4 linked regions of the Pelodiscus sinensis genome follow. The protein of the gene in region 3 interacts with the protein of the main gene of each other region in a biochemical or structural test. Links are inferred from orthologs where the notes say so. Each region holds a gene or a part of one and is shown on either strand. Other genes may lie near its edges.

Region 1 (7,734 bases), on a different chromosome or scaffold from region 3:
CAAGGAGGAGGAGTTCAGTATCTGTGGGCCAGTACCACTGGCAGTGCCAAACAAGCAAAACCAAGGAGGAGTGCGCAGCTAAAGCCCAGGGAAACGCCCCTTTAGCCAGACACACCCACTGCCGGGAAAGACAACGAGCACACGCAGGGCTGTCAGGCATGAGCAAGCGGAGGAACCACAAAGGAGGTCAATGAAACCCAAGGAGAGACACCCGAAACTGCTTCCATAGCTCAGCTCAAGACAAGGAAGTTTCCCTGTGCCGTGACACTTGGCACGAGGCAGCGCGATTCCTCCTAGGCACCTATGGGCTCAGAGACCCTGCACCCACTAGACCGAAGAGAGGCTTCGAGAAGGGGCCAGCATCACTATTTCGTGGAGAAGGCGCAGGAATGTTAACGTTGGCAGAAGTTTTGCCTGTGATCATGGGGACAGCACAACTCAGTTCTCTATAGGCTCTGTACTGTGCTCATCCAGATGTGCATTAAGCAATCTGACTAACGAGTCATGTCCTCGTTCTCTCCTCCTCCCCCCAGGGGGAGATGTGTGTGCAGCAGAGTGTTTGTTTTGAAATTACACACATGCATGCACGCTAAATGTTACACAAGGCCAAAGAGGTGACTGACAGAGTTTTAAGGCTGAGACTTTCTCCACCCCAAAGCGAGCCCCTACCCTTTACCACTGGCGCCACCATGGGGAAACCCCAACTCTCACACATCCAAGGGTTGCTGTCTCTCACTGCATAAGGACTGATAGGACAGGGTAGAAGAGTCTGTCCTGTTTAACTATTCACATGCATGCACACTAGCCACTCAGATCCTCTATCCCAGTGTTTTTCAACCAGTGGTACGAGTACCCTTAGGGGTACTCGAGAGAAGTCTGGGGGGGTACGTCAACACAACTGAAATTTGGAGAAAATTGAATTTTTGTTTTAAGTTTTACAGAGCTTTTTTTTTTATTACACCCAAAAATTTAATCATCTGGCCAGCTAAGATTAAGCTGTTTCAATGCAATGGTAGAAAAAATTGTGTGCGTCTGAAAACTGTAGGTACTGGGGGATATTGTAGGTTCTAGAGGTATCAGTATTCCTCCTTTCAAAAAAAAAAAAAAAAAAAAAAAAAAAAGGTTGAGAAACACTGCTCTATCCCACCTTACACAATCTTCCCTTTTCCCACCATGCTGGGACTCCGCTCACCTGCGCCTCACCGTTGCCTTCAATGCTACTGCTTCTACTACAAGCACTTTCTTCTTCCTTCTCCGACTTCACAACAGCCATTTCTTCTGGACTCTCTTGGTCTGCATGGGGAGGAAAGTGAGACACGATTACAGTCAAACTAGAATAGGTTCACAAGAAGCAGAGTGCAGGGAAGGGCGAGCAGTTTAAAAACAAGAAAGTTAAGGGAACAGAGAACGCACACAAGGGTAAAAACAGAAAGAAGGGAGGTGAGACTAGAAAGCTAAAGGAGGGCCCCAACTACCCCAGTAACTAGCTATTCCGTGGGATGGGGGTATTAGGAGGGCTTGAGAGGACAGTGAAGGAAAGACGATGAAGCCAAAGAGAGAGGGCAAATGGCAAGCTGCAGGGTTAGCACAAAAACTCAGGGAGGAGGAAGTGGAAGGTCTGGGCTCCCTGCCTCTCTCAGGTCCCTCCTGCTCCACTCTTTCAAGGCCCTTCTTCTGCTCCCCTCACCACACTCTTGGGTTCTCCCCTAATCCCCCTGCACCTGCTCCCATCCTGCGTAGGTCTCTTCCCACGGGCCTTCCCCACATTCCACCCCTACTGCGGTACAGGCAGGGACAGCGATTCCAGGTCTTCCAGGGATAGAGACTGGCCGAGTTTTACCACAGGCCACACAAAAAGCACAGGCAAAGTCAGTACAAGCCACAATTTCACACAGACAATGACTTGCTTCTCCGGCTCCATCAACAATACACCCGATTGCAAGTGCGATATTAATATTCCAATTGATTTATTTTATTATTAGATGGTGAAGATGTAAACAATGTTTCCAGTCACAGTATTTTCAGTAACTGTGCGGTGCCGCTCTTGTACTTTCACGTCTCATTCTGTAAGCAAGTCATTTTTACATGAAACTTCAGGGTAGGCAAGACAAATCAGACTCATGAAAGGGGGACAGCAGCCTGGGGAGGTGGAGAACCACTGCCCCCTCCTCCATCCCCTAAATCCTGCCCCATTAGCCCCCCCCATCTCAATGGTCCTTCCATCCCCCAGAGCCTCCACAGGGGCTTAGGCACGAGGCTCCCCCCCCCATCTAACAGGAGCTCAGCCCCAATCTTCGGGGGGGGGGGTCCCTCACACGAGGGATCCCCCAGAACCCTGCCCCCCCCCCAGGCTCCCTGCAAGATTCACCCTCCAGGGGGTTCCCGCCCCTCCCCCACACTTCCGGGTGCTGCTTCCTCCAGGATCATCCCCCCCCCCCCCGCTCCTGCCCCCCCCCCAAGGATCCTGGCTCCCTCCCTGCAGGATCCACCCCCCTCCCATGAGACCTACCCCCCCCACAGGGATCCTCGCTCCTGCCCCCTCCCTGGAGGGATCCCCCCACCCCGGCCCCCCCAGGGATACCCCTCCCCTGGGCGATCCCAATCAGGAACGCCCCTCCCCCCGTCGCCCCCCCCCGCGGGAGCCCCACGCCACGAGGGCTCCCCCCCCGGGGATCCTGTCCCGCTCCCGAGCCCCTCCCCCGAGGCTCCCCCCTCCTCGGCCCCTCCCCCGTCCCGAGCCCCCTCCCCCGGGCCCCTCCCCTCCCAGGGCGCCGCGGCCCGGGGTGGGGGCGGGCTGGGGCGGGGCCGCCGCCGGAGTCGGCCGGCCTGGCGTCCCCCGGGGCGGGATGGTCCCGTCCTTACCGCTCATGGTCGCTGCGGGGGGCGAGCCCAAGTCGCTCTCGGGGCGGGGGGAGGGGCGGGGGAGCCCGACTCGCTGACGAGGCAGCCTAACCCCGCCGGTGACCGCCAAAGGGCTGGCGAGGGAGGGACTGGGGGCGCTGCGCGACTCGGCCCCGGCCCCGGGACACGCCTCCCGACTCGGCCGGCGCCCAATCAAAAGGCACGGAGAGCCGCGGGGGGCGGGACTAGCCGCAGATGACAGGTTGTGGGGCGAATGGAAAACCAGGCGGGTCCAAGAGGGAGTGGTAGCAGCGCACGAAAAGCCCCGGCCCTAAGATCCGCCTTTTCGACGGCTCCGCCCAATGAGGGAGGGCAGCGGGAGGAACGGACGGCGAGTGTGGCCAATGGAAACCCAGGCCTGCTCGGCGAAGGGTGGACGGAGGGAGGGAGGAAAGGCTGAGGCGAAAAAACAACTGACGTGGCAGGTGGCCAATCAGCGATCGTGCTGGCTCCTGAGGAAACCCCGTATGGGAGAGGCTAGGAGAGCGTGGAACGAAGCCGTGATTGACGCGCGATGTGACCAATCGGCCGTTAGGCGGGTTTTCGGAGGCGGTCTCTGCGAAGGGACGGCCGGCACCACAATTCGATGGACTGGAAGTCACACCAATCAGAGGGAAGAGAGAGAAGGCGGGACGAGGGGCTGACAGGGAGAGCGACCTATCAGCGATCGGGCGGGATGCCAGGCGAAGGCTGGGAGCCAATCAGGAAGGGGAGCAGATCGAAAGCGACCAATGGGAGCGGCTGTGACGGGCTCGGGCGAAGCCCCGGAGGGCTGGGCGGGCCCGGCCCGTGCTGGGGAATGTGGCGGAAAAGGCGCCATTTTATGTGAGCGCCGAGCGCCTGCCCCCGCCCCCACTTAAGGAAGGGAGCCGCCCTGAGCCCCCCTGTCGCGACACCCCGCCCCCCGCAGCCTGTCGCGACAGCGCGCCCCTCCCCCCGCCTCGTCACCCGGCCCCCCCAGCGCCCCTCCCCCCGCCTTGTCACCCGGCCCCCCCCCAGCGCCCCTCCCCCCGCTGTCACCGCCCCCGCCTCGTCACCCTGCCCCCCGGCCCCCCCCCAGCGCCCCTCCCCCCGCTGTCACCGCCCCCGCCTCGTCACCCTCCCCCCGGCTCCCTCAGCGCCCCTCCCCCCGCCTCGTCACCCTGCCCCCCCAGCGCCCCTCCCCCCGCTGTCACCGCCCCCACCTCATCACCCTGCCCCCCGGCCCCCCCAGCGCCCCTCCCCCCGCTGTCACCGCCCCCGCCTCATCACCCTGCCCCCCGGCCCCCCCCCCAGCGCCCCTCCCCCCGCTGTCACCGCCCCCGCCTCGTCACCCTCCCCCCGGCTCCCTCAGCGCCCCTCCCCCCGCTGTCACCGCCCCCGCCTCGTCACCCTCCCCCCGGCTCCCTCAGCGCCCCTCCCCCCGCCTCGTCACCCTGCCCCCCCAGCGCCCCTCCCCCCGCTGTCACCGCCCCCACCTCATCACCCTGCCCCCCGGCCCCCCCAGCGCCCCTCCCCCCGCTGTCACCGCCCCCGCCTCATCACCCTGCCCCCCGGCCCCCCCCCCAGCGCCCCTCCCCCCGCTGTCACCGCCCCCGCCTCGTCACCCTGCCCCCCGGCCCCCCCCCCCAGCGCCCCTCCCCCCGCTGTCACCATGGCCCCCCCAGCGCCCCTCCCCCCGCGGTCACCGCCCCCGCCTCGTCACCCTGCCCCCCCGACCCCCCCCAGCGCCCCTCCCCCCGCCTCGTCACCGCCCCCGCCTCGTCACCCTGCCCCCCCAGCGCCCCTCCCCCCGCGGTCACCGCCCCCGCCTCGTCACCCTGTCCCCCCAGCGCCCCTCCCTCCGCGGTCACCGCCCCCGCCTCGTCACCCTGTCCCCCCAGCGCCCCTCCCCCCGCGGTCACCGCCCCCGCCTCGTCACCCTGTCCCCCCAGCGCCCCTCCCTCCGCTGTCACCGCCCCCGCCTCGTCACCCTGCCCCCCCGGCCCCCCTCCCCCCGTGGTCACCGCCCCCGCCTCGTCACCCTGCCCCCCAGCGCCCCTCCCTCCGCTGTCACCGCCCCCGCCTCGTCACCCTGCCCCCCAGCGCCCCTCCCCCCGCTGTCACCGCCCCCGCCTCGTCACCCTGCCCCCCAGCGCCCCTCCCCCCGCTGTCACCGCCCCCGCCCCGTCACCATCGCCCCCCTCCTCCCGAGCGCCCCTCCCCCCGCCTCGTCACCATGGCCCCCCTTCCCCAGTACACCACCCTCCGCCTGTCACCTCCCCCGCCCCTTTCACCATGGCTCCCCCGACCCCCCCATTGCACCTCCCCACCTGATCCTGTCACTGGTAGGGCCACCCTTCCCCCAGGACCCCTTCGCAACAACCCTCCCAAGAGCCTGTCGTGTCAGCCCCTCCCCCCACAACACCCTGAGTGCCTGTCAGGACAGCCTGTGCCTCCGCCCTGCCAGTGTGGGGGACACAGTCCACCTGTGGAACTCCCTGCCACAGGATGTTGAGAAGACCAGGGCTTGAACAGGGTTCGAAGAGGAGCTACATGAATTCATGGAGGTTAGGTCCATCTATACTTATTAGCCATGATGGGCAGAGAGGGTGACCCCATCCTCTGTTTGTCAGAAGGTGGGAGTGAGCAACAGGGATGAGTCACTTGATGATTCGCTGTTCTGTTCACACCCTTAGGGCATCTGGCATGGGCCACTGTCGCAAGACAGGATACGGGGCTAGATGGACCTTTGGTCTGACCCAATGTGGCCATTCTTATGTTCTTTTGACTGTCCCCACTCTACAGCCACATCACCCATGAACACAGTGTTGTCACCCAGAAACATTACAGTCCTGCAGTCTTTCCACCACTGAACATCTCAGCATCTCACAAGTGTGTCACCCTCCATATCCCATTGGGACTACTACACCCGTCTCCTCAAGATTCACTTATTCTTGTCATCGCAAGACATTATTATTGGACATCGTAGTGTCCTTGCAAGCCCCTCCTTGTCTTCTCAGGCTACAGACATGGTATTCTGAGATGGCACACCTCCCATCAAAAAATTGACACAACACACTGAGACACAGCTATGCCCCTCAGACACCCACTCCATTTTCTCTCAAGATGCTAACAAGTATTACTCTGTATCCACAAAAACAATGAGGTGTCCTGTGGCACCTTAGGGTACATCTACACTACACAGTTATTTAGGAATAAGCTCTTCTGGAATAGTTATTCCAAAATAGCTTATTTTCAAAATAGCACAGCTACACTGCAGGGAAACCTCAAAATTAGTCCAAAGCTGGCTTGCCTAATGTAGATGTGTGCCATCTTGATTTGGAGCCCCAGGAGGAATAACTTAGAATGGCCCTGGTGGGGGCTATTTCAAAATAGCACAAGTGGAGCATCTACAGCTATTTGGAAATAGCTATTTCGGAATAGGCATTATTCTTCATAGATAAACTTAAAAAACAACAAATAGTCTGGAAGCACTTTAAAGACTAACAAAACATGCAGATGGTATCATGAGCTTTTGTGGACACAGCCCACTTCTTCAGATGACCAGAGTGTTGTAGAATGAGGTTTACAGAAGTCGGAGTAACCATCCGTTATTTCAAAATTATTTCAAAATAATGGAATTGCAGTGTAGATGCTCACATAGTTATTTTGGAATAACACCCTGTTGTTCTGAAATAACTTTGCTGTGTAGACACACCCTTAAAGATTAACAGATTTATTTGAGCATAAGTTTTATGGGCTAAAAACTCACTTTGACAGACCTGTTATCGGCTCGTCACCCAGAGTGCTCAGCACAGCACATCTTCAGACCCTGTCCCCATAGCGGGCACATGACTCTGGCAGCAACCCATTCCCCTTATACCCCGTCGCAACAGCTTTTTCCCTAGTCTCTGTCACAACAGTACAACCCCCCAGAGCTAGGGTTGCCAGGTGTCTGGTTTTGAACCGGACAGTCCAGTATTTGAGCTTTCTGTTCAGAAAACAACTTGAAAAAAATATAAATGAGAAAATACAAATGTCCGGTATTTTCTAAATAAGATGTAATATAGATTGTGATGTAATGTCAAGTATGTCCAGTATTTTTGTTGAAATCATCTGGCAACCCTATAGAGCCGGTTACCATGTCTGACAAAAGTGGCATTTTGCTCATGAAAGCTTATGCCCAAATAAATCTATTAGTCTTTAAGGTGCCACAGGACTTGAAGAAGCTAACGTGTTTCCCTAGAAATTTTCCTGGAAGTCATGCATCCCCCTGAGACTTTCTCCACACCACTCCTCACTCCCCCGAAACACCATGGTGTTGCCTCAGTTGTCACCTTATCCTGTGTCCTTTAATATGCTGCTACCGAGTGTTTTTCAGGAGTCTGGGCCCACCTTAGGGTGCAGAACAATTTCCCTGCCAGGCCTCACTGGAAGGTCAGGCCCAGCACTGTATGAGAATAGACATCATGTTCTTTCCTACCCACCTGCCTAAGGAGCCACCCAAAAATCATGACTCTGGCTCCCCAAAATCTTCAATTTGGCTTCAGAATGATACGTCGTCTTTTTCTTTGCCTCTTGGTTTTTGAACCTGTAAGCGATGCTCACTTCATGTTTTCAAGCTTTTACAATGATGAAGGCCACAATATTACTTTTTAAATGAAAGCTAAGATTGAGTCTCATCTAATCGGAGACTTCAGAAGCTGGGGCTTTAAGAAAAACTCAAAATAGCATGGGTTTGTTTCATAAACATGAGGCTGGCGTTCCAGCATGGATGAATTTCTGCATTGCTTCCGAATGGTATGTTGTTTCTTGTTTATCTTAATATTGTGACATTCAATGGAGCCAAGGAAGGTGAAATTGGCACTTCTT
Region 2 (6,877 bases), on a different chromosome or scaffold from region 3:
TGACCCTTATTGGTATAAAGCAGGGCTCGACAAATTATACAATCTACTCGCCTGTGGCAAGTATATTGTAACCCGGATGAGCTGGGTTCCAGCGACCTGCGCATGCGCAGATTGCCGGACAGCGTGGTTCGGCGAGCCCTGGATATAAGGGTACACTGCACACATTTGTTTGTAGAATCTTTTCTTGAATAAAATGAAATAAGATGTTTACTCCAGTAAAACAGACTGCATGTAGAAAGCAAGGATTTGAATAAAAAATATCAATTAACTTCTACGAAATGAAAGGTTAGAGTATTAAGCATTTCAAAATAACTTCAATAGATGTAATCATATGAGCAGAAAAATAACTTTCCAAACTGTTATTCAAGCATAAAACAGTTAATCAATGCATAGTTATACTTACTAAGTTTGTTTAGCTCCTGGCGGATTGTCTGACATTCCTGAGTCTCGTTTACAAGTCTCTCCTGACTTTGAGCCAGACGCTTTTCCACTTCAAAATACTGTTGTTCTGTACAACACCAACACATTATGTTAACATTACTTCATAATTAGTTTTTATTAGGGAACCATATCTACCAGAAAAATGCCAGAAATAATCCTTTCACTCCTGCTCCAGGCTCTACTGAAAACTTTAAGTGCAGTGCTACATTGCTAACTAAAGGTAGGACCTCTCTGCCAGATGCAGTCCCAGTGGTTGGGAGTGGGGGTCAGCCAGGACTCCAGAGGCAGAGTGGCCAACTGCTGGGAGTAGAGGCTGTCCGGGGCCAAAAGTGGACAGCCTCCACTGTCCCCCTAGGAATCTCAGTCTGGATTGAGCACTTGCTCTGGCTGGGGATAGCTCACGGGCCAGGAGACTGAGACCCCTGTTCTACAAACATCAGTATCTTTAATGTCATTTTACAAAGCAATAGAGTCACAGGGAAGTATCTTGCCCAAGGTTACCCACTGAGAGAGCCAGATATTAAATCCAGGTCTCCTGGTCCCACTCCTCCGTTCTAGACATTAAGATATGTTGCCTTTCCAACTGAGCCCAGGGTGATAGCAGTGATTTTATTGGTTAACTGGCCCTTGCCAGTGAACTCTGAGCTGGAGCAGCCCCAGTTGCAGAGAAGCCAGCAGGCTGAACAATGGGACCCCACAACATAAGTTATGGCGGCAGGACATAAGTTAAAACAGTTAAGTGCTAGTGTTTAACCAGTTAACTGATTTAACATCCCTAGGTGATAAAATCATATATAATCAATGTCATTGTCTCAAAAAAAATCTTAAGAGTTTAAGCAGGGAAGAGAGATAGGATAGCTCAGTGGTTTGAGCATTGGCCTGCTAAACCCAGGGCTGTGAACTCAATCCTTGAAAGGGCCATGTAGGGATCTGGGGCACATCTATCAGGGATGGTACTTGGGTCCTGCCCTGAGGGTAGGGGACTGAACTTGATCTCTCAAGGTCCCTTCCAGTTATATGAAATAGGTATATCTCCATATAATGCCAGAAGGAACTACCTTATAGTCCCAAAGCCTGGGTTGGATTACAGCACTCAGGAAGCCAAAGTGTTGCATAGGTGATAATTCAATCACCCTTTCAAAGTTTTGTTTCCAGCAACTGCAGATCATTCAGAAAGGTTAAAGTTTCAAAAACTGAGTTTACTGGAAGTGTTGCCGGATTGGGCTCCCTCAGAATATGTCTAGATTGAAAAAATAAAAAAACACCAAAACACAGCTGTTGAGTCTCAGAACCTGGGTTTATAAAACCAGACTCATACTATAGCATTAAAAATAGACGTATAGAAGTTCCCACTAGAACGTGGGCTCTGAAATCAATGCCCTCCTTAGGGCTCAGACCCAAAATGGGAATAGCTAAAACAAAAAACAGGACTATGTAGCACTTTAAAGACTAACAAGATGGTTTATTAGGTGATGAGCTTTCATGGGCCAGACCCACTTCCTCAGATCAATTTGCAGAAGATTGATCTGAGGAAGTGGGTCTGGCCCACAAAAGCTCATCACCTAATAAACTATCTCGTTAGTCTTTAAAGTGCTACATAGTCCTGTTTTTTGTTTTAGCTAGACCAGACTAACATGGCTGCATCTCTATCACTATTCCCAAATGGGAATATCTTCATAACTATTTTTAGTTCTGGGACACAAAGTGTGTAGACCCGGGCTCACAGAACCACTGTAGCAATGTTCTTTTTTGCAGTGTAGACCAAACAAAGCTCTTATACTCTTCCTCAAGCAACAGCCTAACTTAGGGAACAGATAGAGAATCTCACTCAATAAGTACATTCCCTTTCATTTTCAATTAATTTTAGGCGTTTAATGTAAAGCAATAACTTGTAACTTCACGCGAAGAGCAGCCTCTTATTGAGTTCTGCAAATATTGTTGACCAAGGCCTAAGTGGAGAAGGAGGGTTTAAAAGTCAAAGGAATCCACTTCCTAGAACACGTGTAATGCTCCCTCAGTGCCGCTACACAGCAGTGAAAGCCGTGGGGGACGTTTATACGCCTCTGTCCGCACCAGGAGAGCTGCCCACAGCGTTGCCTCTCGCGCTACCCCTTTGCTGCCAGGGTCTGTCACTAGCCAGTGGCCGCTGTCACAACTCGACACTCGGTTCCTGGTGCATTTCCGTGGCGGGCGGGAGAACCGTCCGCCCAAGCCCGGGGGCCGGCCCCCCTGCCTGGCAGCAGACTCAGGCCTGGTCCCAGGGACAGCAGCGTATCAACGTCTCCCCGGGCCCGGCTCCCGCCACTCACCGCTGTCCACTTTGAAGCGTTCGTGCCGGGCCCGGAGCCCGTCGATCTCGGTCTGCTGGTCGGCCAGGAAGCGCTCCAGCTTCCCCTGCACCGGCTTGGGCAGCTTGGCCAGCTCGGCCCGCTCCAGGACCTGCTGCAGCACCGCCGCCATCTTGGGAGGGAGCCGCTAACCTCGCTACCGCCTCCCGAGCAGCGCGCAGCCAGAGCTCGCCTCCCCGGCTCGCACAGAGCGCGCACAGTAGCCAACCGACCGCAGGCGCCACCGGAAGCGGAACTCGTGTGCGAAAGCTTCCGCAAGTCGCGTCCTGTCCGCCATGATGGGCGAGGCACTGCGGCCCGGGTGGGCAAGAAAGAGGCGCAGCGACCTCTGCCACACAGCACATGGCGGGCCCCGATGGGCGGCAACAACCAGCGCCCGACCTCCGGCGCTGAGAGTTTTCTCTCCTCGAATCATAGAACCTGAAAGAGACCTGAGGCGCAGTGATCCTACGTCATCAACCTGCGCCTTGAGAGCGGAGCGCAGCGCAGCCTGGTGATGTGCATCTGTGGGGACACCAGTAAGCTGTGGCCCTGGCTGGGAGGCTGACCTTGGTGGGGGAGGGGAAGCGTGTCTGAAGGCGCCGGGGGCCTGGCCGCGCGGAGGGGGAGAGCTGGTGGGGCAGAGGGAACATGGCCCCGGTCGGAGGTGCTGGCTCGCCGCCCGCGCGGGGGCTGCCCGAACGAGTGGATTCCGCCTGCTTGCACCTTGCAAGTCCTGGCGCCTGCCACGTCGCCTCTCAGCTCTTTGGTGTAGATCTCGCTCTCTCGCTCTCTCTCTCTTGATTTTACTGTGTCCCTTTGGAGTCGGGATGTAAGTGACTAGTTCACTGCCCGATAAGCCTAGGCTCCACTGGTACTCGACTGTCCTCCCCACCCCCCACCGCCTGATACAGAGTAGCAAAGGGAGGGGGGAAAGCTGGTGCTGAAGGGAGCTTAAAATCCAGTCCCCCCCAGCGCCCTCTCTGGTGTGGGGTGGGGGAGGAGAGACAGAGTCACAGTGGTCTGGAAGATGGGACTGCTCAGTTCCAGCTTTCACTGGGTCTCGGACTGCTGCACCTCTACCTTGTAAATGTAGTAGGGAGCCACCCAGCTCTTATTACATTTAAAAGGCAAAGCTGCAGCGGGGGTGGGTCTGGGACATGGCCTGAGCTGGGACTGCTCAGTCCCTCTTGCGCCAGGTCTGGGACGGTGCCCCTTATCAACTAATTGTGTGTTGATATAAATTGTGTCGACTATATGATTAGTCAATTACCTGCTTCTTAACATCCTTAGTTTGGAAGGAGTGAGTCAAATAGATTGAAGGATATGAGCCTGGCCGCCAGGGGAGAGAGAATCCCCCTATGCCCACCTCCTACATCTTGTGTTCAGGGATTTTTTAAAACAAACAAAACCCTGCAAATGGAAGGTGTAAGACAGGCCTGTTTGACAGACTTTTGTGGCTTAAAAAGCAAATCATGTCTGAAGAAGGGAATGAGCATGTTTAAAGAATGCAGTTATTGTGGACTGAGCCAGGACTAGTCTTTCATTTTTTTCTAGGCAGCAGTTATTTGCAGGTGATGTGATTATAGGCTAGAGATGGGAGTCTGACTGAGAATTGTGAATTCATGAGACAATAATTGGAGGTGAACATTAAGAGTTGAAGGTTGTTTCATAGGTCATTTGTAAATTATCGTTTCAAGACTTTAAATGAAGATATTTTATTTGATATGTCAGTTTCACAGTTATCACATTTAAAATACCTCTTTTTCATACAAGTATGTTAAGAATATACTTACCTATTCAGAGAGAGACTTTTAGAACTCAGTAAAATTATCAGTAACATATTAATATGCTCAGGGTGTTTTTCTGACACTTTATTTCTGTGTTCTTACTCTCCTATACCTTATGTTCTCGGACTAAGTACCTCTAAAAAGTAGATTAATATATTCTCTTTTTATAGATGGAAATTAGGCTAAACCTGCAGTAATGGGAAGAAGCTATTTTGTGGAAGAACCTGTTGGACAGTATCTTTCAGACTTCAGCACCAAGCCAAAGACTTGTGTCACAGGCTTGTTGATAGGACAGGTAACTGTTTAAATTGCTATATGAAAGTGAATAGGCTTTTGTGATGTGAATGTAACTCAGATTAACATGTTCATATAGGGCTTATTATCTATATTCAGCTGTAAAACCTTTTAAGTAGCCGATAGGCCCTGGGCAAGAGTGCAGCCCCAGAGGGGCTGGGGCAGAGAGGCTGGCGATGGGGAGCAGGGCTGAAGGAGAGCCTTGATCTCCCTGGGTCCGGCAAACTCCGAGGTTTGGGACTGCCCAGGTCACGAGGGTGCCCAACCAGAGAAGTCCCACCTGTAGAAGTTTCATGTGTGTTAAGGTGTTAGTAGAAATGAGATTGTGAAGATCATTTTAGTGTCACTTCTTTTATATATTTGTGAATGATTAACATAGCAAAATATGTTACCATTTTAATTTCTTCCTTTTTTGCCATTCCCAAAATTGATAATCTGTATTTTCATTGTTACCTTGTACTATTTGTATTGATTTTTTTCTCTGCCACAACCACGGGCTCCTGCAGAGCTGCCTCCCCCCTCCTCCCCCAGCACTGCTGCCTCTGAGGCAGTGAAGAAGGGGCAGGGAGTAGCAGGTGGGAGCCAGTGCTTGCGGTGCTTAAAAGATGGCTCCCTGCGAGTACTGGCTCCCGCCTGCTACTCCTGCATGTAAATGTGTAACTAATGAAAAATTTAACGGTTACACATTTACAGAATTAAATGTCTCAGAGGGGTAGCCATGTTGGTCTGTAACTGAAAATAATAATAATAGAAAAAACCAATGAATGGTCCTGCAGAACCTTAGAGACTAACAAAACATGTAGATAGTATCATGAGCTTTTGTGGGCACAACCCACTTCTTCAGATGAATGGAGCACGGGGTCCAGAGGTACAAATAAATGGCTAAATGCAGTGATGTTTTGCTAACATCCCTACTCAAAGCTGGGTTCTTGACTAGCTTATGATGGTGCTGACATCCTAATGCTTTTTATTTTGTCTTTTTAAGTTTGTGGGAAAATGGTATATTGGTTCTAGGGTAGATCTATATTGGTATAATGGGCTTTGACTGCAACTCATGTGGTCATACCCAAGCTTTAATTTAGCTAGCTCATGTACCAGAGCAGTGAAACTGACACTTAGGCTTTAGCAAAGGCTGACCACCCTACACATTTTCCACTCTGCTATGGCTTCACTGATGTGGTAGCTGAGTTAGCTAGGTTTAAGCTCAGGCATACCCACAGGGGTTACAGTTACACCCGATGATTGCAGCGCAGACGTATCTTTAATGCAAGGAATGTGTTTAGTTGAGCAATGGTATCCACTTCCTACTTTTTTTTTATGAATTGTGTTTTGAACAGCCTTTCAGCTAACTAGCTGAAGTGCTGAAAGATCAGGAAACTAAAGCACCGGTTCTCAAATTTTTTGGCCCATGGACTACCTGGCTCAATGCAAACCTTTCTGTAGACCACCAATTGCTAATGGAAACTCACTTGTAATTACATAAGTAACCCTGAGCCATTTTGCAAGTGCTGCAGCTAAAGAGAATGGTTTAATTTAAATTATTAAACAGATTAAGCATTTTAACTTTCTCATGTTAGTTTATCAAGCTTCATTTTAAATCAAGTAAAATATTAATTTATGTCCAACACATAATGTGTTCTTTGTGTATGGCAGGGGTGGGGAACCTTTTTAGGGTCAGAGACCACTGACCCACAGAAAAATCAGCTGAGGACCACACAAATAAAAAAGCAAAAAAAACTCCTTCCAAAGCCCCCAACCCACACTGATGTGGCCCGCAACTGAGACAACTCACTCCATTGGTGCTCCAACCCCATGGAGCGAGGGGAAGGGACAGCGAGGATTGAGGTTCAGGGCTTCCCATAGGCTAGATTTACTTTTCTGGGGTTCCAGAATTAGTAGGTTTTGTGGAAACCTAAGGCTCTGGGGTGGGGGCAAAAATGAGAGGTGCAGTGCATGGGACAGGGCTGCCAGTGAGTGGGATAGGGATGGGGATGCTGGATCGGGGTGGGAGTGAGAGGGCTGGAT
Region 3 (7,282 bases):
ATGGAGTTAAGTTTAAGGATTCACTATATTAGGTTTTAATTCCTTAGTGATTGCTGTTCAATATAACCTTTGATGTGAAAGGACATGAAACTTACCTTAGACCAAAAACTCCTGTCATTAATTTATATAAAATATATTCATGTGTTTAGTTTAAGATAAGAGGCTAACACAGACTTTGAGAAAAAATTGAAAACGTAATGTTTTATCTCAAGCCACAAGAGATCAGGTGTGTGTGGGGGGGGGGGGGGGGAGATGATATGTTCTCATCCTGCCCACAAACCATGCTCCATTCACCTGTGAAGCCAAAATAGGATGTTATTGACAACAAACTATGTATCCTTCATAACATTTATTGCAGCCTTTGCTCAGTAGTGAATTCCATTTAAGCCTCTTTAATCCAGCAACCCTGGGAAATAGGGTAAAGTTTTCAAACCACAGAGGGTGCTGCAGTGGATTCTGGGAAGAAGGGAGCATGCATGAAGGGAATAGGGATGCAGGGTCTGGACATGAGGTTGATGGGAGTGGGGTATTTCTGGCACCCTGCTATGGGAGCATATGCGGCTCCATGCCCCAAAATACTAACTGGGGATGTTAAAGTGGGTTTACATAAACATGTAATTGTTGAAATTCAGGGCTTACACATAGGAGCAGAGCCATCTGACCCCACCCCTTGCTCCCATCTCACCCCCTTGCTGTTGCCTCAGATGGTGGGAGAACTGCGTGTAACCATGCACAACAGATTAGTCCAAGGTCATTGATAACCATGTACATGTTTGCATCCTTAATACCAATCTCTGCTGCCTCACCTCCAGACCAGCACTTTGCTATGTTGCTGTTTCCTTAGATGTGAGGGAGGGGAGAATGGCAGCACACAGAGCTGCTTCCTCCTCTCCCTGCTGGAGTCCAAACCAATATCATTGTTAGCATTCCACTGAGGTAAGTGGAGCAGATTATACTTCAGAGAAGTACGATTTGAGGCTCTCTAGCTTCAGAGAAATGCACAATTAGAATCTATCTACAGCAAGGGTATTTCTACTGTACAGTATACAGGTGCTAACCTCTCCATGTAGATGTGTTGAACAGGTATAAAACAAACTTGCACTGGTGAGGCTTATCTTGGTTTCTAAAGTAAACTGCACTAACAGGTCTTACATTCAAATCTGTACACTTAATACATGTTATATTCACTGCAGCTTCACTGGTGTAAACTATACAGACAAATATAAACAGGTCATCAAAACATACTGAAAGTTATCACAATAACTAAAAGGGCTAACATCATCATCAAGTAAAAGCATGTAAACACACATTTAGTTCCTTGGTGAATCCAGGCCTAAATGACAGTTTACATTCCGGAATACAAGCCTCTCATTCAGTCATCAAGAAGTCATCATAATACAACCTCTGAATGAAAGTTTATGCTGTAAAGAAACAAGTAACAAATCAAACCTATTTGAAAAAGCATACATAGTTTTTAAAAGCATACATTATAGAAAGACACTGTGCATTTTGAAGGGAAAACAGCAAAGGTTTTGGAGAAAAGTTATTTGTTTGCTCTCAAGAGTGCAGATGAATTTAGGAAATTAATTCTTTAATCCATTTCACAGAAAGACAGACAAATGGGATAAATAATTTAAGGAAAAACACGAGAGCATGTCAGTGACATTCGCGCATCCTTCTACCCACGTACAACATATACACCAGCTCAACTCAATCTCAGCATACTATTAGCTGGTAATAAACATCTTAACTTGCTCAAATACATATGTGCATTTCTCCATCATTCTGATAGCCTGATTCAAACAGTTATGTCAAAATAGTTGCACACACACATTCACTCTGCATAAATGGCGGTGTTTCACTGAAATGTCTCTGGGATACAACATAAATACAAATAATCTTGCAGCACCTTAGAGACTAACAAAAATGTACATGGTATCATGAGCTTTCATGGGCACAAGCTGATGCCCACGAAAGCTCATGATACCTCTAAATTTCTGTTAGTCTTTAAGGTGCTGCAAAACTGTTTTAAGTTTATTTAGTTACAGACTAACACAGCTACACCTCTGAAACTGATACACAAGCGTTTCAACCTTGAAAAGTATTTTCACCAATATATGAGGTTTCTTGTCCTTACTGGGGGGAAAGATGCCAAATCACAACCAAACAAGATAGATAATGGAGGTAATAAGAATAATAAAGTCTCTTTTTAGTTTTACCCAGTGTGGTCCTGGCACATAAGGTGAGCTTTGTACTCCGTCAGTCATGGCCATTATTTTGGCTTCCTTCTCCATTATAATATATATCATACTGCCAAGAATTAAAAAAAAAAAGACAAAACCAATCCAAGAGACAGTGTAAACGGACAAGAATAGTTAAGCAGAACTCGAGCCAGGACTGGAAGAGGAAGGGGCAGCCCCTGGAGCGAGGAGGCAGAGAAGAGGGCAGGAGATTTGGCAGCAAGCGGAGGTAAGACGCAGCTACAGGAGACTGGGAAAGGAAGAGACACTTTAGTCCCGGTCCCCTGCCCGCAGGAGAGCAAGGAGGCTGGGGCCGCGGGCTGTTGCCCAGCCCGGGAGAGGCTGTGGGCCAGGCAGGGCTCTGCCCCCCGGCCGGTACTCACCAGACCATGCCGTAGGCGCCCTCCCCGATGTAGGAGAGGTTGGTGTAGCGGGGCCCCACATCGAACGCCTGGCCCCGCACCATCTCCGGAGTCCCGGGGTTGGCCGAGCCGCCCGCAGCCCCGGCACCCGATACCGCCGCCATGTTCTCGGTGCTGGGAACCGCTAGGGAAGAGGGGAACGCGGTCGCCTCGGGTGCCCGCGCGGCGGCTGCGCTCCCAGGAACCCGCAGCCGTCCGGCCCAAGGCCCGCTCGCCGCCGCTGTGAGGAGGCTGAGGGGCGCGCGCCCGGAACGGAGGGTGGTCTCGCTCGCGCGCACACGGCAGGAGGAGGAGTGGTGAGGGAACCAGGCGTTATAAGCATGGGAGGGGCGGGGCAAGCGGGGACTGCGGTAACTTCAGAACCGCCGCAGAAAAGAGGGGGGCGGAGCCAAGAAGGGCACGTGGTCGGTGTGCCAGCTGCGCTGCTGCAGGGAGCCATTCAGCGTCAGGTGACGGATGCCCGCCTGCCAATGGGCTGAGGCCTGCGCTTGTCAGGGCCCTTGGGCTGCGTCGCCAGACGGGGGCGTCCCCGCGCCTTGGGGTTGTGTTCTGCTGAGGCAGCCCGGGATGCCGCCCCTGGCGTTGGGGCCGGCCGTTGGTCAATCCCTGACATGGCTCTCGTGTCAGTCAGGGGCTAGGCCCCGCCCCATAAGCTGAGTAGGAATCCACTGTACTCAGGTACTGCTCTGCCCCGCCCTTGGCCCATGGGGGGAGGGGGACTCGTGTGGTAACTGGCTTTCTTGGCGGGAGGAGGGGTTACTGCATGACTGCTGGGCGTCCTGCCCTTGTCTCAGGGAGCCGAGCTGCGTGAGTATTAATCCGCTAGTGGACATTAAACACGCTTGAGCCAGTGGTCAGTGCCCAGCAGTGCTCTCCGTAAGCCCTGCCTGTGTGGCTGCCCAGCAGAGTGCCTGTTGGTGGTGCACATTTGCACATGCCTGGGTGCGCATAAAATTGTATTTTGCACACGGATGGGAAAAATCTGCACCTGCATTGAACAGATTCGAGCAAACATTGGAGCCTAGGGAGTGGTATGTCTTGTGTGCCACATCCTTACATAATGCAGTGGGAACAGTAGCTCTCTACCCTTGAAATAGGATTCCATACTGCATACTCAGCTCATCTTTAACTTGAAAATAGGGTTCTGAAACTAGTGCTGCTTGTCTTGTTTTCTGGCCATCCTGCTAGTATTGCTCTCTTGATTGCTTGTAGGTGGGTGTTCTTTTTCTTAGCCTCTGGGTCTCCATCTACTTCACTTTTGAAATTGAAGATATCACAATATGTTCATAAATTCAGTGTCCTGATTCCCTTTCCACTGATGCTGGATATATGGGCCCAGCTAATGGTATCAACTAATGCCAGTCATCATTCAAACAATATCTGATCTTTGCTTTCTAGTGTTATTAAAGGCATATCAGCATGCGTTGCCATTTCTTTGGAGCACTTTTTAAAAAGGGGCTTTGTCATAATTGTGTCTAGGGGTTTGTGTCCTCATTGCACTATTAGGAGTACAGATGCAATTGTTCCACTCCAAATACCACAGCCAGAAGCTCTTTTTCTGTTTAAACATACCCCTGTATTGCCTCTGACAGCACTCTATTAGCATATGTGACTGATTGCTTCTGCAAAAGAGCTACACCCAGTCCTCTCTGATGCATCACATTGGAGTGTCAGTAGCTCACCACGGTGGTAGTACTTAAATCAAATGCTTGCTCTTGGGATCCCATGTAGTCCCACTCAATATCGTGCCTTGTGAGATGATTTATAGATTCTGCTAGTGCAGCCAGATGTGGACAAAACTTGGATGGACATTTATCATGCTTAAGAAGTGCTACACCTCTCTCACAACAACTGGAACTGTCATGTAGCTGCTTTAAGCATGTTGTGATCAGCTCTCAGTCCCCCTGCTGTGAGCTGATGTACAAAGTATGTCATCTCATGTTATTTAAATTACATTTTATTTTGGTTTAATTCTATCGTCTTGTCCCTGTATTGCTATAGAAAAGTTTATAGTTTTCTATAAGGATGTTAAGAAGTAGGTAATTGGCTAACTGTGTAGTCAATACAATTTGTGTCACCTACATGATTAGTTGATAATGGGAGGTATTCTCTCCTGTCTCTGGGTCCAGGAGCTGCCCCCTGCTGTGGCTCTGCAGTTTAAATGTGGTAGAAACTGCTGAGTCCCAGCTTGTGCTGGGTCCTGGACCTTCCCCACTACAGCTCTGCTTTTTAAATGTACAGGCAGTCCCCGAGTTACGCGGATCCGATCCGCAGTTACGAACGGGGTTTGCTGCCCGTTTCCCTGGTCTCCTGAGACGGGGAGCAAAGCCTCTGAGGACGCCGGCAGCGGGACAGCCACGGCACATCTGGGCTGTCTGCTGCCCGCGTGCTCCCCGGCTTTGCTCCCCATCTCCCTGGTCTGCTGGGGGGGGGGGGGTGCAGCTAGTATGCCTCCCCCCAGCAGAGCAGGCTTTTCTCCGTACGCCTGTGGTAGAGCAGCTGGGGTGCTGCCGGTTGGTCCCGCAGCGCCGCTCTGGGCGCTACTGGACCAACCCAGCAGCACCCCAGCTGCTCTGCCCCAGGCGTCCTGATTCAGCCGCTGCTGGTCAGTTTCAGCAGCAGCTGAATCAGGACGCCTGGGGCAGAGCAGCTGGGGTGCTGCTGGGTTGGTCCAGTAACGCCGAGGAGCGGCGCTACTGGAGCAACCCAGCAGCACCCCAGCTGCTCTGCCCCAGGCGTCCCCGAGTCAGCCGCTGCTGAAACTGACCAGCGCTGACTACAGGAAGCCCGAGGCCGAGTTGCTCTGCCCTGGGCTTCCTGGAATCAGCCGCTGATCAGTTTCAGCAGCAGCTGACTTGGGGACGCCTGGAGTTCTTAAGTTGAATCTGTATGTAAGTCGGAACTGGTGTCCAGATTCAGCCTGTTGAAACTGATCAGAGGCTGATTCCAGGAAGCCCGGGGCAGAGCAACTCTGCCTCGGGCTTCCTGTAGTCAGCTGCTGGTCAGTTTCAGCAGCGGCTGAATCTGGACACCAGTTCCGACTTACATACAGATTCAACTTAAGAACAAACCTACAGTCCCTATCTTGTACGTAACCCGGGGACTGCCTGTAGTAAGAGCCTGGAGGTCAGGGACTTGGCACGAGCTGAGTCTGCTGAGTCCCAGCTTGTGACAGGTCCCAGACCTACTGCAGCCTGCCACCAGGGCTGCTGAGTCCCTGACTGCTGCAGGGGTCCATGATTGCTGTGCCTCTGCCTTATAAATGTGGTAAGAGCTAGGCAGCTCTTACTATGTTTAAAAGGCATAGCCACAGCAGTGTAGGTTTAGGACCCACACAAGCCAGGACTCAGCAGTCCTAGTTCACGCTGGTCCCTGACCACTATGCCTCTGCTTCCCCTGCCCCTCCCCCTCCCCCTGTACTGTGGAGATGGTGCTGGGAAGAACCAGCTTTTAAGCTGGCTGTATCCAGCATCAGCTCCTGCTTCTCCCCTCCTTGCTGCTTCTGATAAAGAGGCAGCAAGGAAAAGGAGCGAGTAGTTGGACTCAACTACCTGATAAGCCCACTGGATGTAGAAGCTACCCGTGCTGAGGCTCTGAATCTTAAATGTAGTAAGAGCCCGCCTGGCTCTTACTACATTTAAAATGCAGAGCCACAGTGAGGGTAGGTTCTGGACCCAGCGCAAGCCAGCACTGAGTCCGGGACTGCTGCAGCTGGCCTGGCTCTTGCTACATTTAAAATGAAGGTAGGTGCCGGACCCAGTTCAAGCCAGGACTGAGCTGGGCTTGCTCAGTCCTGGATCATGCCATGTCCAGCATCCCTGTCCATGGGGGTACTGGCAGGGAACTGGGACCCACAAAAACAGGGGCTGCCACCAGATAGAGGAAGAAGCATGGGAAGGGGGGCAGAGACGGTGCTGGGAGGATCCGGCTTTTAACTGGCCTGATACAGAGGCAGCAAGGCGAAGGGAAGGTGAATAGTTGAGTAGTTGACTACTCACTTACATTCCTAATGGGCATAAGGCAGTGGTAGAGGGGTCTGGTCCAGCCCTACTGTTTCACTCTGCTTTAGGGAGCAATAACTCTCCAGAGCTCCTCAGACTGCTGTGATATTTGAGGCAGTGGTGTGCTTCAGAGTGGTGCATACATACCTGTCTGCATTATTTCCTAGTAAAAGGCATGATAATAGTTTTAGTTGCCTGCTGTTGTCATTCTCCTGCATGGTTATCTCTGCCCACAACTGTCTTATCACTGGGCTACCTGTGAATCTGCAAAATCTAGGTTTCTGGGGAATTTCAGATTGAGTTCCATGGTTTATGCTGCCAACTGCAGCTCTTCAGAGACCTCACAGCAGCTCCAGTGCTGCCACTGTGTTTCATTTGCAAAGAGTGAAGCTGTATTCAGCATAAGCTGAACACATGGAATTTTATTAAACCTTGTGTGCTGTTCTATTCCTGAATCTGAGTTGCTTCCAGCTCAACCCTATTGATTTACCATGTTCCCTGGTGTCCTATTATTAAGAGCCCCTCTAAGGAGCATGACCTGTATGACTTGGTTCCACTAATCATGATACATTTCCTCTATTTTATTTTATCCTTTAATACATACACTAAAACAAATCAT
Region 4 (7,739 bases), on a different chromosome or scaffold from region 3:
AAATTTTAGTCAGCTTGGAAAGGAGGACTTGTTTAGGAGTGAGGAGTTAACTTGGCATTTCCTGACTTTTTTTAAGACAGGAAGTCAAATCCTAATTTAAGTTAATTGAGTTAAACTCTTTAAATGTCACTATAACACTGTTTTCTGCTTTCGTTACTGTGACGGTTCTCTCCCCCAACCATGTTTATGAAGTTTGGCTTATGAATGGCCCTGGGCCACTTCAAAAATTAGTGAAGTGCCCCCCACCCCATCTAAAATTATTGCCCACGCCTAACCTAGTCAAAAGCCATCTCAGAATTACATTCTCCTTTCCTGCTGTATTTTCAGGCGGATAAGGGATTCTGCAGCAACAAGATGGGCGAGGTAATATCTTTTATTGGACCAGCTTCTGTTAGTGAGAAACAAGATTTCAAGCTCTTCTTTGGGTTTAGAAAAGCTACTCCCAATATCAGAGCAAAATGCAAGGTAGAACAGGTTGTTTACTTATATTTTAAATAGCACACATGATAAGTATTGAGAGCCCTTTAATATCTCTACAGATATATGACAAAAGGGTGTTATTGGGATATAGATTATTCTAATAAGCCATAAATCCAGTGTCTCTCTTCAGTCTGTGATGTTTAATGTCTAGAAGAGTAATGATATTTAGCTTCCAGGCCTCACATTTGAAAGTGGTGTGCAGGTTTCGTTTGAGGATGAGGACTGATAAGTTAGATTTAGAGTAATCACTGTGAAAAAATGCTCACTCACAGGCAATATAGTGCTTCGGTCTTTTATACATTTCCTGTGTGAGTTCATTCAAGAGCAGAGTGATTGTCTGGTTTCACCCATATACTGAGCTATTGCAGCGTGTCACATTAATCTATGGCTGCATTCCACCTTTCTCCTCCCTGAAATGATTTTTGAGTATTTACTTGTATATGCAGTAAGTAGGAATTCTGCCAAGACAATTCTCTAAGGGCCTCAGTTCTTGGCCTATTCTTTCTTGAGTGGTTGTGGATTAGACTACAGAAACCCCCTTGGGTGTGCTGATCATGCCTCTAATGTCTGCTTTCCTGCCCTTTGGGACTCTCTACCACACTGTCCTGCTGGGCAAGACCCTGTGTCTGCCCCATCCAAGGCACAGAGTTGGGGTTACTGCCCTCTGCAGAGCAACAGAGATGCTGAACCAGCTCAGCTCCAGGAGCTTGGCTATAAGAACTCAGTATCCAGGAAACCAAACCACAAAAGGGACCAAAAGCCCAAATAAATCAGTTTTTTACCAAAGTTTCACACAGAGAAAGCTCATAAAGATGCTTGCCTCTTTATCTATGAAAGAGGTATGCACAGTGATAGTTTCTTCCCCCCCCCCTTCCCCTCCAGTAACAATTATTTACTCTGGGCTTGATGATAAACAAAAATGTTTTATGAAGTACAAAATGTAGGATTTAAGTGATTACAATGAAAACAGTCAGATCAAAGCAAGTTACTAAGTTTAAATAAACAATTCAAAAATACTAAATATACTCGACATGAAAATTATTACCCTAAACAGTTGTTCTAAACATCTTTCACAAGCTAAGCAGCCTCCTAGGTTGGGCCTAGGATTCTTCACCCCTACTCGATCTTAGATGTTTCCGAACAGGCATGTTAGGTGGTAAGTGGCATCTCCTGGCATCTGCCCCTTTTGTTTGATTTCCCTCACCCCATACCCTTTTTGCCCAAGGCGTGAATTCTGTAATCATACAAGTTCAAACTTTTCTCACCTTGAGTGGAAAAGTACAGGGTCCAAAATGGGTTTCAGCATCACGTGGCCTGGCCACAAGTCCTATGACCAACCACAATTTGGGCTTTTAAGAAGAATAAGCCATTCGTGGGTTGTTGGTTTGAATACTGAGCCATTATGTTTCCACAGCATCAGTAATGGCCCTTATTAGCACATTCAGATTTAAAACCAGATTCACATTTCATATTTCTAACTTCACATACAAGAATGATACATGCAAAAAATTAAAATATACAGATTCAGCAGACTGTAACTTTAAAATTGATGTTACATGAGATATTTTAGAGTGTCTGAGTTAAGTATACTCATAAGCCAATTTTCATAAAAGCATGGGGGACATAACAGTGGGTTTTGTTTTTTGTGAAAAGACTATTACTAAATTTATTCTTGATAATTATCATTATTATTATTCCCCTAAAAGAGCAGATTGTGAATACATGGTCATTAAAATTTGAATTGGAGTATTGTGCAGAGTGAGGTTTATAAATAATAACCTTGCTAATGTCAACATTGTATGCAGCACATACAACAGATTATGTGACCTATTCTGATCAAATAGCCACTTAACTGTGAGCAGAATATTTCACTGATCATGCTTCTTGGGCATTAATGATTCACTGGAAATGATGTGTTGTACGCTGCCTCCATGGTTCTAGTAACTGAGTAGCTGATAGAGGGCTGGAACATCAACCATTGGAACATATGAATCCTTCACACACAATCTGTGTTTAAGTCATGGTGTTGTTAAAATAGCAATAATAAATAAACAGAAATGAAAAAGTGCAACCCTGTTTTTATTTTTAAGGAAAAAAACAGATTTGCTTTGAATCTTCAGCTTTGGCAGAGGAGTCATGGTTTGGCAGAATGGAGGCAATTGCACAATCAGTTAATCAGTTTCAGACTGGCAATTAGTCAGTTGTCTGGGGGAGAAAGGTCTGGATGCTGTGGGGCACTTGGTCAGATACAGATCAGCAGGGAAGTTGAGAAGGTTGTAGAGCCCTTTTTTGTTTATGGATTGACAGGGAGTTACAGAGGAGGTTCTGGAACATTCTGAAGCAGCTGGTCACTAATAGTTTGTCAGGAGCCAGTGCAGAAGGCTCTGGAAAGTCCCAGAAAATTGTGGCAGTCTGGGGTTTAGAAAGTGTGAGAGGCTTCCCCAAAGCAATTTGAGGGTATTAGAGGAAATGAGAACAGGGAAAGTTTGTGTTGAAAGATGTAGCTAGAGAAGAAGGATGGTAAGAGAATACTGCTGCCTATAAGGCAGAGAAGGAAAAAGCAGTAGTATGGAGGTAAGAGGACGGGAGAAGCAGGAGTCACAATGAATGGCCAATAGGGAAAAGGGACTCCAGAGAGATTTGCTCTACATCTAGACAGCAGCGCTATTTTGGGATACCGAAAGTATCCCGAAATAGCAATTCCACATTTTTAAACATGCCCGTCATTTCAAAATATATTTTGAAATAATGGACACACTATTCCAGCGTCCCTGTAATCCTTGTTCCACAAGGGTTAAGGGACTTGTCAGAATAGCACTTTATTTTGAAATTAGGCACGGGGTAGATGGCACCAAGTTTAAAAATAAGCTATTTCAAAATTACCTCAAAATAAGCTACACAATTTACATATCTTATTTCAAGGTAAGGGTGCACCCCAGGGGAGCCTTCTTCCCCATGGGTAATAACAGAGACAGAGAGAGAATACACAGAGAAGGGAAAGACAGGCTGTGAGACTACATAAAAATCAGGCACCGAGGACGGGGAAGTGAAAATAACTGTGATGGGAAGCTCTGAGCAAGAAATACTCCAGTGGGTTGATAAAAGCTGATCACCCACAGGGAAAAGTAACTTTTGGGAAGCCTTACTAATTGGTGAAGGGGGGAAAAAAACTCTACTGCCAGTTATTTCGTAGCCCTGATTTCAGTGGGAATTTTGAGTATGCAAAGAATACAGTCCCAGGACTAGAGTTTAGTTACATTGTTTTTTCTTTCATACAAAATACAGGAAATATTCCTCTGCATATATACACACCCCCTCTTTCTTAGGAACCTCAAATATATATTTAAAAATTGCCCATTCCTCTTCTCACCACCCTGTAATGTTTTTCTGAATACTCCTTTCACATGCCAGATGTATGTCAGTATGTGATGTGTGTGTGTAAGCCTAAAGTAAATGTCAGTAGGGGTATGTGTGTATAAGCCTAAAGAGACATAAGATGAAGAATCTGTGCTGGCAATCATATTCCTATTCTATAAAGCTGTGGTCTCCACCACACTAGCCACATTTGGCAATTTAGCCACTTGAGTGTGGTTAGTTCGCTTTAGCAATAGCTACTGCAGTGGCTACTGCTTCAGAACTGGTTGGACACTACAGCTATAAAGGAATATGGACATGAACTAATATTGTTTTGAAGAAAGGAGGAATCACTATTACTTGTGCTTTAAAGGAACCTCACTTAGCTTCTTACCAGTGTGGGGTCTATGGCACTGAGTGGAAGAGCTCTAATTCCACCCAGCAGAGGGCAGTTCGAGAGCGACTGTGCCTAGCCACGGCATCACACCAGGCCTGAGGGGAGTGTGTGTGAATCCTCACACACCGACCCGATAAGAGACTGCGGAACAAAAAGATGAACAAAGCGCGTGTATGTTCTTCGGCTTTCCGCTGTACATTGTGTGCCGAGGGGCCCGGTGGCTGCTGCCCGTGGCGTTGCAGCGCGCAGGGTTGCATCAGTCGATTTCCTGCCGGCTCAGGATGGAAGGTGTGTGTGTGTGTGTGTCTGCAGTTTGCACTCCAGCGACTGCTGGCGAGCCGATGACGTGAGTGCTCCCGGGCAAGGGAGTGTCTGCCCTACGCCCCTCCGAGTGACGTCAGTCTGAAGCAGTCAGGTGACCCAGGCTCATTCACAAAAAAGGGGCAGGCCGCTCCGCCGCGGAGCCTATAAAAGGCCGCGCGCGCGCTGCAGCCCGCCAGGACCCTGTGAACAGCGGGAGCAAGAAGGGGGCACACAGAGCACTCGCGGACCCAGCCTCCATTGCAGTCAGAGGCGCTTCCCCTCGGACCCGGACTCTGCCTGTGCGGGCCGAATTACACACAAGAAATTGCCGAGACGCGCCGCGCGGTTGGTTTGTAAAAAGCGCCCCGAGAAGCAACAAAGGAGCCGGGAGAGGAAGCCGCCCCCGCGCTCACACAAAGGGGACCCGCCCTTGGACCTCGAAAGAGACCCACCGCCCGTCCTCCCCCACCTCCCCGCTCCTGCGTTTGGGGACCCGGACCCTGCCCGCCCGCGCCGCGCTCCGAGCGATGGTCAACATGCAAGTGTGCGCCCTGGATTGCGAGGCGCTGCGGGGGCTGCTGCAGGACCGCGCTGCCCAGTGCCTGGTGCTGGACTGCCGCTCCTTCTTCTCCTTCAACTCCGCGCACATCCTGGGCTCCGCCAACGTCCGCTTCAGCACCATCGTGCGGCGGCGGGCCAAGGGGGCCATGGGGCTGGAGCACATCATCCCCAACGAGGAGCTGCGGGGCCGCCTGCTCGGCGGCGGGTACCAAGCCGTGGTGCTGCTCGACGAGCGCAGCTCGGACCTGGAGCTGCCGAAGCGGGACAGCACCATTATGCTGGCCGTGAACACTCTCTGTAGGGAGGCCAGGAACACGCGCATCTGCTTCCTCAGGGGTGAGTCCGGGGAGCGCTCAGGGCGGGGGAGAAGGGGGAGACTGTGCCAGCCAGACACTATCTGGCCTGTGTGTTCTCAGGGGGAACAGGGCATTTACGCCTCACCAATGCTAACAAGACTTTCCCCGTTTTCTCTCCCCATTCCAGGAGGGTACGAAGCCTTCTCTTCCGCCTGCGCTGAGCTGTGTACCAAGCCAACCGCTCCCACGGGCCTGAGCCTGCCTCTGAGTGCCAACAGCATGCCTGGCAGTGCGGATTCCGGCTGCAGCTCCTGTGGAACCCCGCTCTATGACCAGGTCAGTAGGAAACCTGCTAAACAAGAAAGGGTCATTTGAATTGACTATAGCCCTTAAGGCTGGGCATCTCCAGAGGTGATGTTCAGACACAGAAAAGATAGTGAAGAGAGCAAATGTCTGCTTGCCTGCATATAGCAAAAGAAGAGAGGCTACTTTAAACCACACAGTGCAATTATCTGATCCTCTTCCTTTGTCTCTTCTTGTTTAGGGTGGGCCAGTGGAAATCCTACCATTTCTCTACTTGGGCAGTGCCTATCATGCCTCCAGAAAGGACATGTTGGATGCTTTGGGAATCACCGCCTTAATCAATGTCTCAGCAAACTGCCCCAACCATTTTGAGGGGCATTACCAGTACAAAAGCATTCCAGTGGAGGACAACCATAAGGCTGACATCAGCTCCTGGTTTAACGAAGCCATCGACTTCATAGGTAAATGAGTGTTCTCTGCAGCCTGTGCTTCCAGAGAATCAGCTTGCATTTCCCTTGAAGTAGAGATCTCAGTGGAAATCTCTAGCCCAGTTTAATCTTAAAATACATGGGAAGCTGTTTCCTCAGGGATTAAAGTAACATGAAGTAAATCTGTAGCTATCTTATTTGGGTCTGTGCTCTCTACGAGGCTGTATTGCTAACTGCTGAAAGGATTCTTGACTTTATAAAGCAGTTAGTAAATTTAGCCTGGTATTCCACCAGTAGGTTTTGATTTCTAAAACAGTGATAACTGTTTCAAACAAGTGTCAGAGGCTGAAAGAAACTATTTGTATCGTTGGAATTAGTTTTATTCGGGATAGAAATCCTTAGGTGGTTGTTTACCTCAGGACAAGTGTCTCTTTGTCTGAAGTGCCATGCACACCTTGAGTGCTGGGGAAAGAACAAATTCAGAAATAAAAGCTCATGTTTCTGTAGCATTGGAGGAACCGGACCCATGTATTAACCATGTCATTTAATTGATTATTTCAGATTCTGTTAAAAACGATGGTGGAAGGGTATTTGTGCACTGCCAGGCTGGCATCTCTCGCTCAGCAACCATCTGCCTTGCTTATCTCATGAGGACCAATCGAGTCAAATTAGACGAGGCCTTTGAATTTGTGAAGCAGAGGAGAAGCATCATCTCCCCAAATTTCAGTTTCATGGGGCAGCTGCTTCAGTTTGAGTCTCAAGTCCTAGCCCCTAACTGCTCCGCAGAGGCTGGAAGCCCTGCCATGTCTGTATTGGACAGAGGAACGTCAACCACCACAGTCTTTAACTTCCCAGTCTCTATCCCTGTACACCCTTCATCCAGTGCTTTAAGCTATCTACAGAGTCCCATCACCACTTCTCCGAGCTGCTGAAGAATAGAGGAACATTTATTCAGAATACAAAAACTTGACTCTTGTCTAAAAAGTGCAATAACCATGGGGACAGTGTCTTCAGTCATGTGAGTTCGCATGGGGTTCCATCCATCTCAGAGTAACTTATCACAAGCACAAAGGGGCTGATGTGACTCCAGAGAGCTAGTTCTTCCTTGAATTTGCTGGCATATTTTTGACCAATATCTGGATGTCTACAAAGGAGACAAAGAACACAGAATGCTGTTTTCTTCTTCTGAATTACTCCTCCTTTGTCAGGTTGAAAAGACTAGTCCTTGTTCAGTAGCATACCCACCAGTATTCCCATTTCTGGACATTCTAAGCAACAGAGATTATGTTCCATTTTATATAAAAGTCCTGTTTATTTATTTTATGTAGAAGCATTGTTCTTGCCTTTACAAGCCTGAAGTTTCATTTCTAAAGAAACCAAATACCTCAGTATTTTTTGGGTACTGTAATCCTGTAAACACATCTTAAACTGTTCCCACTTCCTAAGCACTGACATGAAAGCACCAGATGAGTGCTTTTTTAGTTTCCAAGGGTTGTATGTTTGCTGATTTATTTATGATGTGAAATAATATATTTCTTCTTATGAAAGAAGACATGGTTTTGTTACATGATTATGACTTTTTATACAAATAGAATAAATTATGATTTTTCTAATGAA

The links.
Region 1: of the proteins of MAPK1 (region 3) and SP1, one has a biochemical effect on the other in vitro, tested with the Homo sapiens proteins (2 studies listed by BioGRID). The link is inferred for Pelodiscus sinensis from reciprocal best matches to the Homo sapiens genes MAPK1 and SP1.
Region 2: of the proteins of MAPK1 (region 3) and TPR, one has a biochemical effect on the other in vitro, tested with the Homo sapiens proteins (2 studies listed by BioGRID). The link is inferred for Pelodiscus sinensis from reciprocal best matches to the Homo sapiens genes MAPK1 and TPR.
Region 4: of the proteins of MAPK1 (region 3) and DUSP1, one has a biochemical effect on the other in vitro, tested with the Homo sapiens proteins (2 studies listed by BioGRID and IntAct). The link is inferred for Pelodiscus sinensis from reciprocal best matches to the Homo sapiens genes MAPK1 and DUSP1.

What each region holds. Positions count from the first base shown.
Region 1 is NC_134729.1:286,759-294,492, reverse strand, and holds the start of SP1 (transcription factor Sp1), read right to left. Parts: upstream 3,020-7,734; 5' UTR 2,870-3,019; coding exon 2,863-2,869; intron 1,294-2,862; coding exon 1,193-1,293; intron 1-1,192. UniProt on the Homo sapiens protein: Transcription factor that can activate or repress transcription in response to physiological and pathological stimuli.
Region 2 is NC_134719.1:54,932,999-54,939,875, reverse strand, and holds the start of TPR (nucleoprotein TPR), read right to left. Parts: upstream 3,015-6,877; 5' UTR 2,902-3,014; coding exon 2,751-2,901; intron 509-2,750; coding exon 404-508; intron 1-403. Other genes in the region: ODR4 (protein odr-4 homolog), read left to right, coding at 4,755-4,853.
Region 3 is NC_134725.1:17,137,680-17,144,961, reverse strand, and holds the start of MAPK1 (mitogen-activated protein kinase 1), read right to left. Parts: upstream 3,004-7,282; 5' UTR 2,767-3,003; coding exon 2,624-2,766; intron 1-2,623. UniProt on the Homo sapiens protein: Serine/threonine kinase which acts as an essential component of the MAP kinase signal transduction pathway. MAPK1/ERK2 and MAPK3/ERK1 are the 2 MAPKs which play an important role in the MAPK/ERK cascade.
Region 4 is NC_134727.1:18,126,213-18,133,951, reverse strand, and holds the start of DUSP1 (dual specificity protein phosphatase 1), read left to right. Parts: upstream 1-4,721; 5' UTR 4,722-5,061; coding exon 5,062-5,431; intron 5,432-5,578; coding exon 5,579-5,727; intron 5,728-5,935; coding exon 5,936-6,155; intron 6,156-6,683; coding exon 6,684-7,054; 3' UTR 7,055-7,739. UniProt on the Homo sapiens protein: Dual specificity phosphatase that dephosphorylates MAP kinase MAPK1/ERK2 on both 'Thr-183' and 'Tyr-185', regulating its activity during the meiotic cell cycle.